Linked DNA regions of Kluyveromyces lactis. The protein of the gene in region 6 binds, or shares a complex with, the protein of the main gene of each other region. Links are inferred from orthologs where the notes say so. Each region holds a gene or a part of one and is shown on either strand. Other genes may lie near its edges. The genes, in order: MRPL17, MHR1, MRPL9, RML2, MRP49, MRPL31 and RTC6.

What was found.
Region 1: MRPL31 (region 6) and MRPL17 share a complex: the UniProt entries of both Saccharomyces cerevisiae proteins name them as parts of the mitochondrial large ribosomal subunit. The link is inferred for Kluyveromyces lactis from reciprocal best matches to the Saccharomyces cerevisiae genes MRPL31 and MRPL17.
Region 2: MRPL31 (region 6) and MHR1 share a complex: the UniProt entries of both Saccharomyces cerevisiae proteins name them as parts of the mitochondrial large ribosomal subunit. The link is inferred for Kluyveromyces lactis from reciprocal best matches to the Saccharomyces cerevisiae genes MRPL31 and MHR1.
Region 3: MRPL31 (region 6) and MRPL9 share a complex: the UniProt entries of both Saccharomyces cerevisiae proteins name them as parts of the mitochondrial large ribosomal subunit. The link is inferred for Kluyveromyces lactis from reciprocal best matches to the Saccharomyces cerevisiae genes MRPL31 and MRPL9.
Region 4: MRPL31 (region 6) and RML2 share a complex: the UniProt entries of both Saccharomyces cerevisiae proteins name them as parts of the mitochondrial large ribosomal subunit. The link is inferred for Kluyveromyces lactis from reciprocal best matches to the Saccharomyces cerevisiae genes MRPL31 and RML2.
Region 5: MRPL31 (region 6) and MRP49 share a complex: the UniProt entries of both Saccharomyces cerevisiae proteins name them as parts of the mitochondrial large ribosomal subunit. The link is inferred for Kluyveromyces lactis from reciprocal best matches to the Saccharomyces cerevisiae genes MRPL31 and MRP49.
Region 7: MRPL31 (region 6) and RTC6 share a complex: the UniProt entries of both Saccharomyces cerevisiae proteins name them as parts of the mitochondrial large ribosomal subunit. The link is inferred for Kluyveromyces lactis from reciprocal best matches to the Saccharomyces cerevisiae genes MRPL31 and RTC6.

What each region holds. Positions count from the first base shown.
Region 1 is NC_006039.1:256,993-259,549, reverse strand, and holds MRPL17 (mitochondrial 54S ribosomal protein mL46), read left to right. Parts: upstream 1-1,265; coding exon 1,266-2,057; downstream 2,058-2,557. Other genes in the region: Nrd1 complex RNA-binding subunit, read left to right, coding at 1-948; TEX1 (Tex1p), read right to left, coding at 2,265-2,557. UniProt on the Saccharomyces cerevisiae protein: Component of the mitochondrial ribosome (mitoribosome), a dedicated translation machinery responsible for the synthesis of mitochondrial genome-encoded proteins, including at least some of the essential transmembrane subunits of the mitochondrial respiratory chain.
Region 2 is NC_006039.1:893,436-895,897, forward strand, and holds MHR1 (mitochondrial 54S ribosomal protein mL67), read right to left. Parts: upstream 1,161-2,462; coding exon 501-1,160; downstream 1-500. Other genes in the region: GTPase-activating protein NEL1, read left to right, coding at 1,587-2,462. UniProt on the Saccharomyces cerevisiae protein: Component of the mitochondrial ribosome (mitoribosome), a dedicated translation machinery responsible for the synthesis of mitochondrial genome-encoded proteins, including at least some of the essential transmembrane subunits of the mitochondrial respiratory chain.
Region 3 is NC_006041.1:1,426,393-1,428,861, forward strand, and holds MRPL9 (mitochondrial 54S ribosomal protein uL3m), read left to right. Parts: upstream 1-1,147; coding exon 1,148-1,969; downstream 1,970-2,469. Other genes in the region: MRPL6 (mitochondrial 54S ribosomal protein uL6m), read left to right, coding at 161-805; exportin CRM1, read right to left, coding at 2,339-2,469. UniProt on the Saccharomyces cerevisiae protein: Component of the mitochondrial ribosome (mitoribosome), a dedicated translation machinery responsible for the synthesis of mitochondrial genome-encoded proteins, including at least some of the essential transmembrane subunits of the mitochondrial respiratory chain.
Region 4 is NC_006037.1:183,120-186,144, forward strand, and holds RML2 (mitochondrial 54S ribosomal protein uL2m), read right to left. Parts: upstream 1,707-3,025; coding exon 501-1,706; downstream 1-500. Other genes in the region: KLLA0_A02013g (putative aminopeptidase), read left to right, coding at 1-328. UniProt on the Saccharomyces cerevisiae protein: Component of the mitochondrial ribosome (mitoribosome), a dedicated translation machinery responsible for the synthesis of mitochondrial genome-encoded proteins, including at least some of the essential transmembrane subunits of the mitochondrial respiratory chain.
Region 5 is NC_006038.1:623,044-625,332, reverse strand, and holds MRP49 (mitochondrial 54S ribosomal protein mL61), read left to right. Parts: upstream 1-1,396; coding exon 1,397-1,789; downstream 1,790-2,289. Other genes in the region: KLLA0_B07205g (cAMP-dependent protein kinase), read left to right, coding at 1-727; RKM3 (protein-lysine N-methyltransferase), read left to right, coding at 2,281-2,289. UniProt on the Saccharomyces cerevisiae protein: Component of the mitochondrial ribosome (mitoribosome), a dedicated translation machinery responsible for the synthesis of mitochondrial genome-encoded proteins, including at least some of the essential transmembrane subunits of the mitochondrial respiratory chain.
Region 6 is NC_006041.1:1,082,310-1,084,664, forward strand, and holds MRPL31 (mitochondrial 54S ribosomal protein mL60), read right to left. Parts: upstream 891-2,355; coding exon 501-890; downstream 1-500. Other genes in the region: kinetochore-associated Ndc80 complex subunit SPC24, read left to right, coding at 1-423; CMC1 (Cmc1p), read left to right, coding at 1,228-1,539; APL2 (Apl2p), read right to left, coding at 1,717-2,355. UniProt on the Saccharomyces cerevisiae protein: Component of the mitochondrial ribosome (mitoribosome), a dedicated translation machinery responsible for the synthesis of mitochondrial genome-encoded proteins, including at least some of the essential transmembrane subunits of the mitochondrial respiratory chain.
Region 7 is NC_006041.1:1,683,425-1,685,468, reverse strand, and holds RTC6 (mitochondrial 54S ribosomal protein bL36m), read left to right. Parts: upstream 1-1,301; coding exon 1,302-1,544; downstream 1,545-2,044. Other genes in the region: kinetochore-microtubule binding complex subunit SPC105, read right to left, coding at 1-718; tRNA (34-2'-O)-methyltransferase regulator RTT10, read right to left, coding at 1,722-2,044. UniProt on the Saccharomyces cerevisiae protein: Component of the mitochondrial ribosome (mitoribosome), a dedicated translation machinery responsible for the synthesis of mitochondrial genome-encoded proteins, including at least some of the essential transmembrane subunits of the mitochondrial respiratory chain.

The DNA.
Region 1 (2,557 bases), on a different chromosome or scaffold from region 6:
CAACAACAACAACAGCAGCAGTCAATTAATGGTCAACAAGGAAATAACCATCATTTGTACCCAGATGAGCAGAATGTTCCCTCAAACCCTCATTTTAGGCCAAAACCGGTATCCTTTGATCCAACTGTGCCAAGGGACCACGTAAAAGTATATTCCAGAACCCTTTTCGTTGGTGGTGTCCCACAAAATTTCAAAGAACATGATATTGCAAGAATGTTAAGACAATTCGGTGAGGTTCAGAGTGTTATTTTGAATAATGCCCGTAAGCACGCCTTTGTGAAAGTCTATTCAAGAGCAGAAGCGGAGAGGATCATGGCGCATTTCACTGGTGGTGGCAATCCGACACATGGTTTGAGAATCCGTTGGGCCGTTGGTTTCGGTCCTAGAGACTGTTGTGACTATCAATATGGATATTCAATCATCCCATTGGCCAGGCTAACCGAAATTGACTTCAAATGGTCACAGTCCGCGGAATGGGGTGGTACTGGTGGTCAACCAATCCAAACAAACATGGTTTATGAGGAGCCCGATATTATTGTTGGTGAAGGTGTTTCATCAAAAGCGATTTCGCAAAAGATGCCAACTGATAAAGGTGTTTTGGGTCCCAAGTCTGGTAAAGTTGGTCAAGCTACTGCTGTCTCTCAAACACCTATCCCCTACAGTAATATATCTCCTCCTCCTCCTCCGGTTCAAACATCACAAATACCGAACGTTCCTCAAATCCAACAACAGTATTATAACCAGCCATTGTATCAGCAGCCTCCATCAATGGTATATGGTCAAAATCAACTGCTGGGATCGGCATCATCTGCGCAGCAGCAGCAGCAGCAGCAATCGCATCAGTCTACTCAACCTTCGGGCCAAAAATCTCCTCAACCCCCACAAAATTTCGATCCAACTGCGCAATTAAACACATTGATGAATATTTTGAACCAAACGCCAAAATAATGCTTATATAAATGCACTTAAATAATTTTCTGTATCTGATAGCCTTTATGCATATGCAATTCACTCACTACTTTGTTCTATTAGTGACACCACTTGGAAAGTTATCAAATCCGTATATCGTGATCGATTATTTCATATTGAAAAATTTTGGAATAGTAGGCATGAGAGGATGTTCAAACAATTTGAAAAATTATTGGAACATCAGCATCATGTTGAAATAGTGCCGCTTATCAGAATTGGGAAGCATATTCACCAGCTGTCAATCATCGTGTATATTCAGTCAGCAACCCTCTTCATCGACACAATTATAAATAAAAATGTCTGTGAAAGCAGCAGCAAGCTCGATTCCCAAGGCAGTAAAGGCAGGTTTGGTACTTTCTCGTGTTCCAATCGTCACTCCAGAATTGAATGCACTAGAGAACAAGTACTACCAATACCAGGCAGAACTGGAAAGAAGACTAATGTGGACATTTCCATCTTATTTCTATTTCAAAAAAGGTACTTTGGCAGAGCGTCGTTTCCAGTCTGTACAGAAAGGTGTGATTAGCAAGCAGCCTGGTGTATGGTTCCCTAAAGGAGTGCCAGACGTCAGACATAACAGAGAAAGAAGTCAAAAGCAAGATATTATGCTACCAAGAGAGGCTTCAGAAGGTTCAAACAAGTCTGATGTCTCAAGGCCAATTGTTCCTAATTCCAGAACTACAAAGGCAGACGAAAATAACGATATTACTAGTTTAGACAGAAAATTGGACAGAACTCTGCATTTGCTTGTGAAGGATGACAAGGGAAGCTGGGTTCTTCCAAGTTTCCCGGTTGATATTGAAGCTAAGGAAGGAAAGAAAGCTTTACATGAGACCGCTGAAGTGGGATTAAGAAAAATCGGCGGAGAAGATATTAATACATGGACTGTGTCGAATACTCCAGCAGGTGTTCTACAATCTGAAAAAGATCTCCAGTTTTTGATCAAATCGCATATCATAGCAGGTGAATTCAAGTTAAAGGATGAAAAGTCAATCAAAGAATTTGCATGGTTGACAAAAGATGAAATCAAGAAAGCTGTTGACGAGAGATATTTCAATAGTATACAATATGTTCTTGCTGAGAATTAACATATTATCATCAAACACAGAAAGTATTGGCATGATTTAATCACTATATATATATGTAAACCCTCCTGTAAATACTGCTTCGGATAGAAATTCCAACCCGTATCGAACACTAAAAGATAACAATCATATACATATTGCTGAACTCTGATTGATTTTAAGATTGGAACATTATATACTTGTAAGAATGCTAATTAACTTTTAAATCTATCACCATCTATCATTTGGCTTTCTAAAAGAAGACCCTGTGTTGGAGCGACCAAACGACTTCTCACTGAATTTATCAGCATCTCTCTTGTATGGTTGTTTGCGCAGCTCTTTATCCCTCTTCCCGCGCTGTGGTGTGTCTCTTTGAGTTCTACTGCTCCGATCGGTGCTTTTCTTAACAAAATCATTTCGTTTACGATCATCGGTCGATACCATAGTTTTCGGTCTGCCTGAACGTAAATCAACCATTGTCATTTTATCAAGAGCACCAGTGGTGTAAAATATTAAGCACGACT
Region 2 (2,462 bases), on a different chromosome or scaffold from region 6:
TTATGCTAGAAAAACTAAGAAAAACCCGAAGCCTCTAAGGGAAAACAGGATTGTCGTTAAAGAAACACCAGAGAAAACCAGAGAAACGGTGTTAAGGTTTCTCAAATTTGGTCATGTGACATTTTTTTTGCTTTTTCTTTGGTGTCCGGGTTCCTGCTTCTTCTTCCGTTAGGCGTTAATGCATGCATGAGACACATATGGTATGAAGCGGTAGAAAAGTAGAGGAAGTAATATGATGATTACAGAACCTTTGATATTTAGGTTACGTGATGATGGAAACAAGGGAGAAAACTGCTAGTAATCACCTTGTCAAATCAGTTAAACGCCGGTAGTGAGCTGAGGGTTTGTTTATATTATTTACAGAGTCGGATTGTCTGCGGGTTATATATGTACATGTAGTGATTTCTTAAAGACGTGACGAGTGAAGCAGTGAAAGATCTGAGCTCGGCTCAGCTTTTGCAACTGGAAATAGTTTGTATTTGCTTGTTTTCTTTTGTAACTCATAGAGAGATGTTTTGAGCAGCTGACTCCTGTTGTCTCACTCTTGCGAACTCTTCTTTGGCTCTTTCGCCTAGTTCTTTCAAAATTGCACTTTCCTCTCTGGAAACGTTCCCCAAACGTTCTAGTGTTGTGTGATTCAACTCTGGCAATACTGGGTTCCAGTATTTCTCTTTATCCCCCATTCTCCATTCGTCTTCCCAATGGACCTTAATGGACGATTGGACGTCTTTCAACTTTAGGAGACATTCTCGCAAATCGGCAACCGCTTCTTGAGAGTATGTTGGTCTGTATTGCGATGAGTACCATGTGTGGCCGGACTCATTCTTCTTTCTCATGTCTTTTGCCTGTTTACTGAATGTCACATCACGGAGATATCTTAATCTGCACAAATTCTGGTATACTTTTACACTCTTGTCGTAGTCTGGTAGATCAACAACAGCCATACATTTCCAAATATCACGTCTGGTGCTTGGTTTCTTATTCTCCCAGTTGGGTCTTTGGAAATTGGTATCAATTTGCTTCCAAGAAAAAGTCGGGAATTGAGAGTACAGCACTTGTCCACTCTCTAGGTTTCTGAATAAAAAGACTTGTGGTGCATACCCTGCTTTCTGTAGCCAGTTGGCTGGACGGAACTTGGTAATAGCTAAATGCTTGCTCATCTCTTCCTAGTGCCCTATGGTGTCTTCAAGCCTTATTTGTTAACAACAAAAGCCTTGATCCTCAGAGTTCTCTTCTATCTCCAGTGCTATTGATGGACTTCTGAAGAGTTATTTAAATACAATGTGTGCACAAATGTGGTGATCTCTTCTGTAATCAAGCTAAACTAACTATCAGCTTTCTCTTTTTCAAAATTTTTCAGCTTTTTCAGATGCCATAAACAACTTCGTAGAAACACTGAAAATTAAAGAGAATGAACCTAATATATACATTACCCGGATCTTGTGATGATATTGAATTCTCCGCTACCTGCTCTATCTTATCTTGGATCTCATCTCCAGAGAAAGGTTTTCCTATCAGCAGACACGCACAGTAGAGTTATCACCTTCATCCGTCAAGTGTCCGCATATTCCACCATCTAGAACTTGATGTTTGAATTGAATTATGGAGCCGTTCCTACGTCCCGGACAGATTGCTTAGCTAGAGTTCTCGATTGTGGAGATGATAACCGTGGATCGATAAGTGCCATTTGTGAGCCGGACTTGACAATTGACGGGAATTCAAGCCTAGCAAGCAGTGAGAATTATACCAATTGTAAAATCTGTGGAGGGTTTGCGAATTTTTTATGTTCAAGAGATTCACGAGCTGGGTGGTTTTGTTCTTTTTGTAATGCTTATAATGAACTAGGGAATATTCCATTATCATCGTCATACCTAAAACATTTAGGAACTGCTGCTGTGCCTACGCATTCCAAGTTCGCCATAATCATCGATCTTAATTGTGAATTTGAGGAAAATCTAGACGCGTTGAAGATGTTACAATTTGGTTCTGTCCAGTCATTGGCCCTGATCACGATTGAAGATGGGTCTGTCACTATTCATACTGACGGGTCACACATTACCGTAGATGCAGAATCTAGTAGTTGTATCAGCCATCTTAAGAAGCTTGACACAGAATGGTTCATTGCAAAGTATGGGCTTTTAGTGAGGAAGATTTGGACGGACCAAATATCTTTCGGTGCTAAACTCGCGGAACTTCTATGTCAACGGACTAGGTCAAAAAAAAGATGTAGAAGAAACACTGCACTCGCTATTTTTCTAGCACAATGTCTAAACCCATCACAATCCATTGCATTTGTTTTCGGACCCTGTACAGTAGCACCAGGTAAGGTTATCTCAATGGACCGAAAAAATCATATCAGGCAGCATAGAAATATAGAGGAAGACAAGGATGTGAAATATTGGAAACCTTCTAGAGAATTTTACAATAAAATGAGTAAGTCCTTAAAGTTTGCTCCATGCACG
Region 3 (2,469 bases), about 340 kb from region 6:
TCACTATTAAAATTTTGATTCCAAGTGAAAAATTGGTTGAAAGACGCATAGAGATGAGTGCTGGAAGAACAGATTGATATAGACGCATTTGATCTAATATACCCAGTCATATAGCGGCTGCAAAGTGGGCTAGACTATTTCCAGGATATACACAATTACCATGACATTTGTTTCCAGAAGACTCTTTTCTGTGTCGGCTCTTCTGCGCTCACATATTGGTTCTTCTCCGGTGTATTTGACACCGGAGACCAAGTTGGTGGTGGAATCAATGAAACTGCCAAAGATCATCAGAAAGGGTAACAAATCTCTTAAGTTATCTCAGAACGTAACTGTATCGGGTCCTTTGGGGAAGATTGATATGGAAATCCCAGATTTCGTGGAGATAAAGCAGGATGGATCTTCGGGAAAAATCGAAGTTGCAGTGAAGGATTCTACCGACAAGACGCAAAGATCCATGTGGGGGACGGTAAGATCTCATATAAATAATCATATCACAGGCGTGAATGAGAGCCATATGGCTGTTCTGAAGTTCGTTGGTACCGGTTACAGAGCTCAATTGGAGGAAAATAACACCTTTGTCAACGTCAAAGTCGGTGCGTCGGTAAGACAAGGCCTACCTATCCCAGAGGGAATCATAGTTAAGTCTCCGGTACCCACGTCGTTGATCGTGGAAGGTGTCAACAAGCAACAAGTGCTACTCTTCGCTGCCAACTTGAGAAAATTCCATCCTCCAGAACCATATAAGGGTAAAGGTATCTACGTTAACAATGAAACTATCAAGATCAAGGATAAGAAGATCAAATGATGACGATAGAATGATGATTATAATTATTATAATATTAAATAACATGTAAATACAGAAGCATAAACATACACTTCCAATAACCGTCAAGGGCACACTTAATTTGTGTTAAATCAGTGAGAGAACTACGTGCCGTTTTAATCACGTGATCTATAGGTAACTTTATCGATTCAAAAAATTTTCAATATCGAAACAGCTTTAACAATTATACAGAGATGGAAACAGGTTTCAATAGAGTCTTTAAACTACATTTTAAATCCTTTACAGTTTCTCCAGCATTGCCAAGAGGTTATCTGGATTGACACATTTGTTATCAATCGACCAGTCTTTGAAAATTGGGGAATAATGGCATTTATTGGCAGTCCTTCGTCGAAGATTTGGACAAGACTTTTCTCACAAAGTGGAGTATCGAACGGTGCCAAGTTAGTCGCACCATCCGTGGCAAGCAGCATTCATCTAGATCCTGTAGATATTAAACATTCTCCAGAAAATGCGCTAAAGAGAAGAAGATTACCTCTACGTTGTGGTGCTTTGAGTAAAAAAGTAGGGATGATGCCGTATTTCGAGAAAGAGACTGGTAAACGTATAGCAGCTACTGTACTTCAGTTGGACAATAACGAAGTTATACTACACAGAACTCCAGCTGAAAACAATTACTGGGCTTGCCAAATTGGTTATGGTAACAAGTCGCCGGAGAATGTTACCAGACAAATGTTGGGACATTTCGCTGCACATGTTGTGAATCCAAAGGAAAAAGTTACCGAGTTTAGAGTCAAGGACGAATCTGGACTACTACCAGTGGGTTCTTTAATCAAACCTTCGTGGTTCAAGCCTGGCCAATACGTTGATTTAAGATCAATCAGCAAAGGTAAGGGTTTCCAAGGTGTAATGAAACGTTATGGATTCAAAGGTTTGAAGGCATCCCACGGTGTTTCCGTATCTCACAGATCTGGTGGTTCTTACGGTCAAAATCAAACACCTGGTCGTGTGTTGCCTGGGAAAAAGATGCCTGGTCATATGGGTGTCGACACTGTAACAATTCAAAACGTGCAAGTGCTGGACGTCAACGACGAAACAGGTACTGTCTTGGTGAAGGGCTCTGTCGCAGGTCCAAATGGTGCATTCGTTAAGATCCAAGATGCTATCAAAAAGCCAACCCCAGTATAAAAAACTGTGATTAAGAAATTGAATCTTTTCAGTCGTTTAGACACCGTCCCGAAATCATTTGGAAAGCATGCCTTTCTACGGTTATTATTAACAATCTATACCTGTATATACACCAATTATAAAATAGTAACTGCTGCAACGTTGAGTGTCCTTTTCAACCAGATATTTAATGGCTTTCATACGTTGATACTGGATCCTGGGTATATGTCGGAGAGAATTGATTACAATTTTTTTCTCTATGTGGGAAGATATACGGCCTGCTATGTATATATTTGCCTTGCTTGACAAGTGTTAGTTTCAGCTTTCATTGGATCCGCAGAAACTTTTTCGTTTCTTGACCATGCTGTACATTTCTGTAAGGTGTTATCTTTACTCATCATCATCCAATTCCGATGGTTTCAATAACCCACCGATCTTGGAAGCTCTTTCTCTTTCAAGTTTATGTTGTTCCGCGAGAGCTTGTTCTTTGTCCTCTGCGAACAAATAATCGGTTGGATCTC
Region 4 (3,025 bases), on a different chromosome or scaffold from region 6:
TGAGCATGTTGGTGTCATTACTGATTATACCACGCCAGGTCTAACTGAATTTATTAAGTTGATTATAAGAAGATTCTTGGATATTCCTTACGTGGAAACGGAATGTGGATATGCATGTAGTGATCACGGAAGTGCAACGAAGAATGGATTCCCCGCTTCCTTTGTCATTGAAAGTGAGTTCAACAAATCTAACAAATACATTCACAGTACGATGGACACTTTAGACAGACTTTCATTTGATCACATGGCCCAGCATGTAAGGTTAGTCGTTGGTTCCTTATTCGAACTTGGGAACTGGGAATTTAAGCTGGAAGAAGAGACCAAATGATGCTCTGGATGTAGTAATCTAAACTTTGTTTAAAATAGAGTTGGTAACTGAACAGATGTTATGTTATTTCTTTAAATTAACTAGTTCTACGATATTTACAGGATGGAAGTCATTGAAATAAGTTTACAAAAACTGATGATATTTAAGATAGGATCAGTTGTGGGGAAGCTTATCATTGTCTAGCCTTTCTACCAGCCTTACCTCTTGGTCTATCTTTAACCTTCATTTTGTTTTGATGCTTACCCCTTCTTGTCTTGTAACCCTTGGCCAATTGACCCCATGGAGACATGGACAACTTTTTGGACTTAGATTTACCTCTACCACCACCGTGAGGATGGTCACATTTGTTCATTGCCACACCTCTGACAGTTGGTCTTATACCCAACCATCTAGATCTACCAGCTTTACCTAGAGAACGGTTTTGATGGTCAATATTTGAGACAACACCCATGGTAGCTGCAGCTTCCAATGATACGTAACGGTGCTCACCACTTTGTAGACGGACAACAGCTTTATTCTTTTCTGGGATCTTGGATAAGATACGTGCGTAAGAACCAGCAGCACGACAGAACTTACCTGGACCTGTAGGAGTGATACCAATATTATGAACGATGGATCCGATTGGGATCATAGAGATTGGTAGACAGTTACCTCTTTGAGCTGTTCTAACAGATAAGATGGCAGGATCGATCTTCCCACCCATTTCTTTCAAAAATGATGGTGGAATACCTTTTCTGTATGATTCGATGGTATCCCCAGCTCTTAGCCCATCACATGCTAAAATGTAGCTTAGGGCACCAGTATCGTTATGTTTTATCAATGCAATATGTGCACTTCTACCAGGATCGTATTCGATTCTTTCCACAGTTTGCATACCAGATTCGAAACGACTGAAATCGACTGTTCTCAATCTTCTTTTATGACCACCACCACGATGTCTCACCGTGATCTTACCACTATGGTTTCTACCACCATTTCCTCTCTTGGCAAGAGTCAAAGATTTAACAGGTCTTCCCTTATGCAAATATGGATAAATTGGCGCACGGTACCATCTCAAACCTGGAGAAACCGGTTTCAATTTCTTCATTTGTGTAACTTCCTTAGCCAACTTTCTTCTTCTTCTTAACAATTCGTCTTGCTTCTCTAGTGCTACCACATCTGTGTTATTAGGAACGATTTTCAACATATGGACATTGACATCGTCAACTGAAGATTGTTCTTCATTCCCGGTTGGAGTGATGCTGGCCATAGATCTGATTCCACCAAGTGAAGTATTGTTCAAAGACATTATCATCGAAACATTCCACGGAACTTGAACTCTTGAGGAGACGCCGCTGGCAAGCGGCGTCAGGCATCTCAAGTTGAATTGCTTGAACATGATATTATATCCAGAGCACCTAACGAGATTCTTAGGGTAAACCGTCTAATACCAATATCTCCGCTTTGCTACTGCCCTTCACAGAAATAATAAAATAACTCTGATCTTAATAAGATTTGTTATAGATATATCCACCCTTATATATATCAATATCCATAGTTTAAAATGTTTAAGTCATTGCAATTACATTGTTCATTTTTGTTAATATCAAAATCTTTCAAGCGATCTCTAATTTCAAACAGCTTCAATACCATCAGAGGAATATCGTCAAATGGAATTTTTTGCAAGAAGTATCACTATGAACGTATTCTGAATTTACCCGGATTATATAATATTTGGTCACGTGATTCAGGAAATCTTTGTGTACTTATTTTGTGCCCTAATGGCAGACCAGTCTCTCATGGTTAGATTGACTATTCTTTCTGTTTTATGGTTTTTAGTTTAAATAACTGGAAAAGTGAAAAATTTTGAGGTAAGTTTCTATCTCATCACGAATACTTTATTATCCGTTACAAAGCTTTTAATTAGAGTTAGAGACATAACCAACAAGGATTCGATTTGTAGTGTATCAGGAACAGGAGTTCCTGTTCGCAACGTATTCTGTCTTTTTTACTGAACTCAAACGGAAATCAAATTCCTCTTCATGTCGGGAAATGAACAAGTAAAAGGAACGACGAAGATAATGACTGTCTGTATGGAAATACCATCATTTGGATTGTTTTTTTTTTGAGTATATCGATTATGATGACCGCTGTCGCCCCAAACGGATTTCGAAAATATGAACGATTCGACTAGCATTAGCCAAACACTGAAAATTCTGATCAATCGATTACTTTATTAAAATAAACTGTCCAGGCAATACAGTACAAGTTATATCTTCTTGTTTGTTTGACTTTCTTCATTTCCGGATATATTCGGGTAGTCGAAGTGTACGTTAGATGTGTCAGTGGATTACTCGGCATTCTCTATCTTAAATATATAGACCTATTAATGATGAACTAAAAGTTTCCATGCTAATCATGAATAAAATTCAAAATTTTAAAGGATTAGAAACACGCTTTTTGTTATCTCTAACAGTCCTGAATACGTTTATATATAGCATTAGCTGTTCCATTCTTGTACTTGTAACTTGTGCTTTTCGGTAGTGTGTGTTTTTTTATTTTTGGTGCCGGTATCTGAATTGTAAACACGTCTTGAAAAGATGTCAATAGAAATAAAAGTGTTATCTTAGGACTAAAAACGTAGGATCCTAGATTATACAGAGCTCTGAGACAGTGAACCACAAATCTAAACCGTTAGCGATACACACAGGGCCTTTC
Region 5 (2,289 bases), on a different chromosome or scaffold from region 6:
CTCACAGCAATTGTTTATGATCATGGATTACATCGAAGGTGGTGAACTATTCTCTCTTTTAAGGAAGTCTCAAAGGTTCCCAAACCCGGTCGCGAAGTTTTATGCAGCAGAAGTTTGTCTTGCGTTGGAATACCTACATTCTAAAGGCATCATTTACAGAGATTTGAAACCAGAAAATATCCTTTTAGATAAGAACGGACATATCAAGTTAACTGATTTCGGGTTCGCTAAATATGTTCCTGATGTCACTTACACTCTCTGTGGAACACCGGACTATATCGCACCTGAAGTGGTAAGCACAAAACCTTACAACAAATCTGTGGATTGGTGGAGTTTTGGTGTTTTAATCTACGAAATGTTAGCAGGATATACACCTTTCTACGATTCAAACACAATTAAGACCTATGAGAATATTCTAAATGCTCCAGTAAGATTCCCACCATTTTTCCATTCTGATGCTCAAGATCTAATATCGAAACTCATCACAAGAGACTTAAGTCAACGGCTAGGTAATTTACAAAATGGAAGTGAGGACGTAAAGAATCATCCGTGGTTCAGCGAGGTTGTGTGGGAAAAACTACTCTGCAAAAACATTGAAACTCCATATGAACCTCCTATTCAGGCCGGACAAGGCGATACCTCTCAATACGATAGGTATCCAGAGGAAGAGGTTAATTATGGCATTCAAGGCGAAGATCCGTACCATAGTATTTTCACCAACTTTTAGCAGGCATACTTGCTCATGAAATTCAGATATCAACATGCCTCTTATCTTGCATCTACACAATATGTAAACTTTAACACGCCTTTCCCCCCGTTAGTCCCTTTTCTTTTTTTTTTTGTTTTGATATATCGGCTCATTGCCTTCAGAAACGCTGCCGTTATTTGATACATTCCTTTGAATGACCATCGTACAATACTAGATGGATTGATGTACGCACTTCCAATTCAAAATTCGTTTCATTCGTTTTGCTGTACTCTCCAATGGATGCTCGATGCAATAATCTTATTTTTGGAGTATTTATCTATCTATAATCAATGGCATTTACATATTTTGAATGCATGTATAAGACTTCATCACAAGTCCTTCCCTCACGATCCATGCTACATAAATTGTAAACTGGGGTAAGTCATGGCACATTCATTTATGTTTTGGACGTAACTTGCTTCTGTCGAATGATTTCACGTGACCAATGAATTTTTTTCCAAACTATTGAAAATTCAAAAAGTTCAGTGGACATGTCCAGTTGAAATGAGAATGATTTTACGAAATAGATGATTGAAGTGATATTGCTGAAAGTGAAGGGTCCTGGTTGCTCTACTTTATCGTCAAGGTTTATTTTACCGATTGGATACTTATACTCATTGTCACTCTAGAGAAGATCATTAATAAATAATGTCAGGAATCGTTAAACAACAAAAATTTTTGAACAAGATCAGTGCGACTACCGTGAAACCTCAAATTATATTAGATGTATCGAAGTACAGTGCATTGAATGTGAAGTTCCAGTATCAGAATTTCAATGGCCATATGGGTGCCCGTAAGTTCTGGCACGAGTTTTTGCCTTCTCTGCAGTTTTACAACCCTGCGTTGCCAATCAATGTGACCAGAATTAGAAACGATGATAAAAAAGTCGATGTACCATGCATACTAGAAGCTATTGGATCCGATGGGAAGGTTGTAGCTGAAGTTTCAATGAAGCACAAACACTCATCTGAAATTATGGATGAAGTGCTACAGAAATTGGAACACAAAAGAGTACCCCAGGAAGAAATAATAAAGGTATGAGCTCCGACCTTTGACAAAGAAAAACAAACAAACTGGAATACCTAAATATACTACTTTCAAAGTTAGGTCCTGTACATATGTATATAATAAGATACTTTTCATCCGATTTGATGTCTTATTCAAATGACATATCCTTTTGAGATGAGTTGACTCTCTGCCCAAGGATCGTCAAGACATTCAAGAACACGCGAGAAGAAGATTTAAAACGCCAGTATATGGTTACCAGGTGGTTATTTAACTTGAATTTCAGAACGCCTCTTACATCTAATTGTCATTAAGACATCTTACATTAACAGCGACTTCTTCATCTGCGGAAATGGTTTTCTGCGTATTGTTCAGTTGAAATTTTTCAATCTCGAAAATGATAAATCGCTTCAGATCTCATCATCTCATCTCATCTCATCGGTTGACCACAGAAATTATCAACACCCCAAAGAGGCATATAGTAGGGGCATTATTCACAGGTGAAGACTCTCAACCCAACAACACGAATGTCTAAT
Region 6 (2,355 bases):
GAGCTCATGAAACAATTGCAATCACAGCTGCAAAGACAGCAAACTAAAGTGCAGGCACTTAAAAAGAATTTTCAGGAGCAAACAAGCCAAGTGAAACGCGTAGAGGACGAATTAAACATACCGAAATTGCAACAAGACATAGATAAACTGGTACAGGAAATTAACCAGCTTCGAGATACGATACAAGAGGGTATTCAAAAGGTCGTAGAAACACAGAAACAATTACTCAATGACGATACTGATGCTGCCCACACGATTGATGAGGAACCGATCGGTAAAGATGACAAGATACGTGTGCTAAAGTTGAAGTTGTTCCATTCCCTTGACGTAGCACTATATAATGACCAATTGCTCGATCTAAGGAATGAAGCCCGTCCATTATCATCATCATCATCATCTCACAACATCTGGGATGAACTATGATACCTTGATTTTATTCACTATGTACAGGGGCTACTTACTATGTAATAATAGAAGTTTTTAATGATGATTCATCCAAATCAGAAATGACGTGGGTTTCTTCTGATGGAAAGCTTGGTCCATTTGGGAACTTTATGTATACCCTTTCTATATCCCTTCGAGTACCTGTTGAATACACTGTACTTATCAGTAGCAGACATCTCCGGTTCCTTTGGGAAATACTGAGCCTTGTCTAAAATACGTAAGCTCTTCACACGAGGTTTAATCTTACGTAGATTCAGCTGAGATCCCTCAGAAACCGCCATATGGTTTCTTTCAAGATGAAGACCTAACTTAAGAGTTGAAAGAACATCATCAACGCTTCTCAAACGGTCTCTTTGTCTTGCTTTTTGAGGACCAGACATACGCCATGGGACTTTCCATAATAATCCACCTAATGCAGGTTGTGTAGCTCTGAATGCACCGAACATTTCTCTATGAAACAAAGATATTCAATTGACCCGGGTATGACAGAACCTAACGAGCTGCTTAAACAGTTTGTATAACGGTGCTACTGGCTGGCTTTTACCAATTTCCCACCGTAATTCATGGTATTAAATCTTTTAAACCTTCGAAATTTTTCAAAGTATCCATGAAAAAGCTTTAAATCTCAACATTATGCAAATGAACAATGTCAACTGATTTAAACGATTTTGGGGAACAGCCAGCGTATTGTCATTTGTAGCTGCTGCTGTGTCCATAACCATAGGTCAGAAGTTCTTATAGTACTGGAATACTGCACCACAAAGATAGATTATTCATTTAGAAATGTCAGAGGGCGTTGGAAAGCATAATCAAAGATTACCAATTTGGGTATTGAACCCTACCGAGGAGAAAGAAGCTCGTCAGAATTTGAAGAAATTTGCATATGCACAATGTGTAGAATACGTGGAGGCCATGGTCGAATGTTCAAAGATTCATGGATTGAAGCTTTTCCCAGCGTGTAACGAACCTCGTGACGCTATGCGCAAATGTATATTATCATACCAGAAGGATTCTAATCTGGATCGTCAACGTGACTTGATAGTGGAACGTAAGATTGAGAGACTTGAGGATCTTCTCAAGAAACAAAAGGAATAAAGTTGACATGATATGACATGACATGACATGCCACTGGGGTTACTTGTATATAGTAGTAGATACTGCACCATAATAAATTAACATTTTAGAAAGGCACATCCATGATTGAAGTTTATCTGCTTCATTGTTTCCCATTATAATTATAGTTTGTACAGGTGTTCAAAAGAGTAAACTAGTTTACATTAAGTCTAGAAGATCGGTTGCATGGGAATTCGAGGTGTTGTTGTTGTTATTATTGGTTTTCTGTGAAATGTTTACTTTCCCCATATCACCAGTGATATCGAAAAGATCATTTAGTTCGTCCAGGACGCCTGTACTTCTCGTGGCAGAGCTATCACCCATGTCAAGTAGTACATCATCGTTCATGTTTTTCAGGATCTCGTTCGTGGCCATTCCCTTTAATTCATCAATATCCTTATCCTTAATGATGTGAACTTCGTTGGGACGGCGTTGCATCTGCGAGATTGGTTTGAAATACACAGAGGATAGAGTGGAGAGCTCTTGAAGTAGACTTTGTAATGTTTCCTTGGAGAAGTGGTCCAAGGTAGAATGCAATTTAGGAATTTCATGCTTGTCAAATAATTGGTTGATGATTTGATCACCGTTGTCGATCGATAGACACCGCCAGTACATCATGGCCATGTCTCTAACGTCCAAATCGTGGACGTCTGTCGTACAAAGTTCCAAGATCTTCTGTAAGAAAGCACTTGAGACTGCATTATGGCATTTCACTACACCCATTAGAAGGGACATTTGAGTTAGGGATCCTAATTCATCGAAAACTTCTACCAGTGGTTCAAGCTTAGTTTCCAAATT
Region 7 (2,044 bases), about 600 kb from region 6:
AAGCAGATTCTGAATCTGCATCTAGCGTAGGTTTTTCTGCATCCATCCGTATTTGGTCAGTTATTTCCATAGACTCTTCTTCGTTAAAGCGGCGTTTCTGCGGTTCTGTAAGGTCCATTGTTTCCTCCAAAACTTGGTCTTCGTTACCATTCTCTTCTTCTTCTTCCGCAGCAGTAGAGGTTTCTTGCGGTACCACATTATCGTCTGGTTTAGCGCTATGTTTTGCAAATAACTGTGTTATATCCATTGAAACCTCTTTGTCGAACACAGGTTGGTACCCATCATTTTTCGGTTCGCTTGGAGACTCCAATTTTTGGAATATTGAACCTATCGGACTAGTAAATTCCATTGTTTCTCCAGAATTGTCGTTATCATTTTTGGTATCGGCCATAGAGGCTTCAGCTACTGCCACTTCCAATTTTAAAGCGGATTTCCTTCGAGGTTCCCTTACATTTTGAATCGATTGTGGTATGAATTCGAACTTGTGCAAAGTCACATCTGGTGCAAAGGACACACGGCGATTTCCCTTCGAAATCGCAGCACTGATCCGGGATGTCGTATTGTTTCCGTCCAGTATATCTTCTTTGGTAATTCCCTCAGTAGGAAACTGTATCTGGGACATAGTCAAATTATGACTGGTGTTAGTTGTATCATCATCCTTAAATTTTTGCTTAAGGATACTTCTCGGAAGCAAAGACAATCGTTTTGGATCTGTCATATGAAGCGAGACTATCAACACAGGGTGAAATATGATAATAAATGGAAACTTAACCTAAATATTAGTCCTTAAGTTTATGATGATTCGGTATTTGTGTGTCAATATATTGATCTAAAATTCGATTGTTTACGTTTTCGAAGTTCAATGTTTTCGATTCAGAGCGCTGCTGCACATACAGTGAGAACCGAGAAAAAGGATAAAACAACTGCCTTGAAGAGTCTCTTAGAAAGGATGGGTGTACTTCATCAATTATTTATTTGTTAGTGATTCGAAACGGTCTTCAGATTTGCCCAAAGATGTTCACTAGATGAGGATGTTCAAGATCTCAGGTCATAACCATCACGTGCTATAGTCCGGGTAAATATCTTAATCTCCATTGAAACTATTTTGAAAAATTATCGAAGGCCTTTTCATGGTAGATCATCAGCTATAGAGGGCATGTTCAGTCGGTGTGATGCCTTATTGACGATTGTGGACTCCATTAGTACGTTTCAAGACCGTGGGTGATATCAAAAACTGAAAACTCTTCACAGGTATAACTCTGGAGCCCGATATAATATAAAGAGAGGGAAATACATACATAATGAGCACACTTTTCGGAAGTACGATGTTGAACTCGTTGACAAGACTGACAAGGCCAGCTGTGAAAAGTATCAATATGCTATCTATGCCAATGATGGGTCTTATGAACCCTCCTTTGACCAGAGGTTTTAAGGTAAGAACTTCCATCAAGAAGTTCTGTAACGATTGTTACATGGTTAGACGTAAGGGCAGAGTGTACGTTTACTGTAAGTCCAATAAGAAGCATAAACAACGTCAAGGTTGAATTACAATCGCCCTCCCATTCGTCCCAATCTTTCATGTATATAGATAAGTCATAATGGAGGATGTGTTCTTTTCTTGAATGTGGAAAAATGCAGCCTTCTTTCTATAAATAATTTCCATTCTATACTAATAAACTGGTTTTAAATATATAAAATTCTGAAGTTTAGATGGTTAGATATTATTCATCTCGCCAACAGGAAAGTCCTAATCCTCCTATTAATATAAGTGTTTTCTGGACGTTTGGTAACGTAACTATATCACTGGAACCGGTATCTGCTACTGTGGTATATTTGCTCTCCGTTATTTTCAGTTTGTCATTCGTAATGTCCCTAATTCTTATGACCTGGTCCACTGATGTAGCCAATAATTTTGTGTCATTATCTAACAGATTCACTGATGTTACTGTTGATGAAGCAGCATACGAATCGTGATCTAGTATTTCGGCTTTCATCGTGTAGTTGTCATTGTTCGTAAATTTAGTGATGGCTACAGCATTGTCAT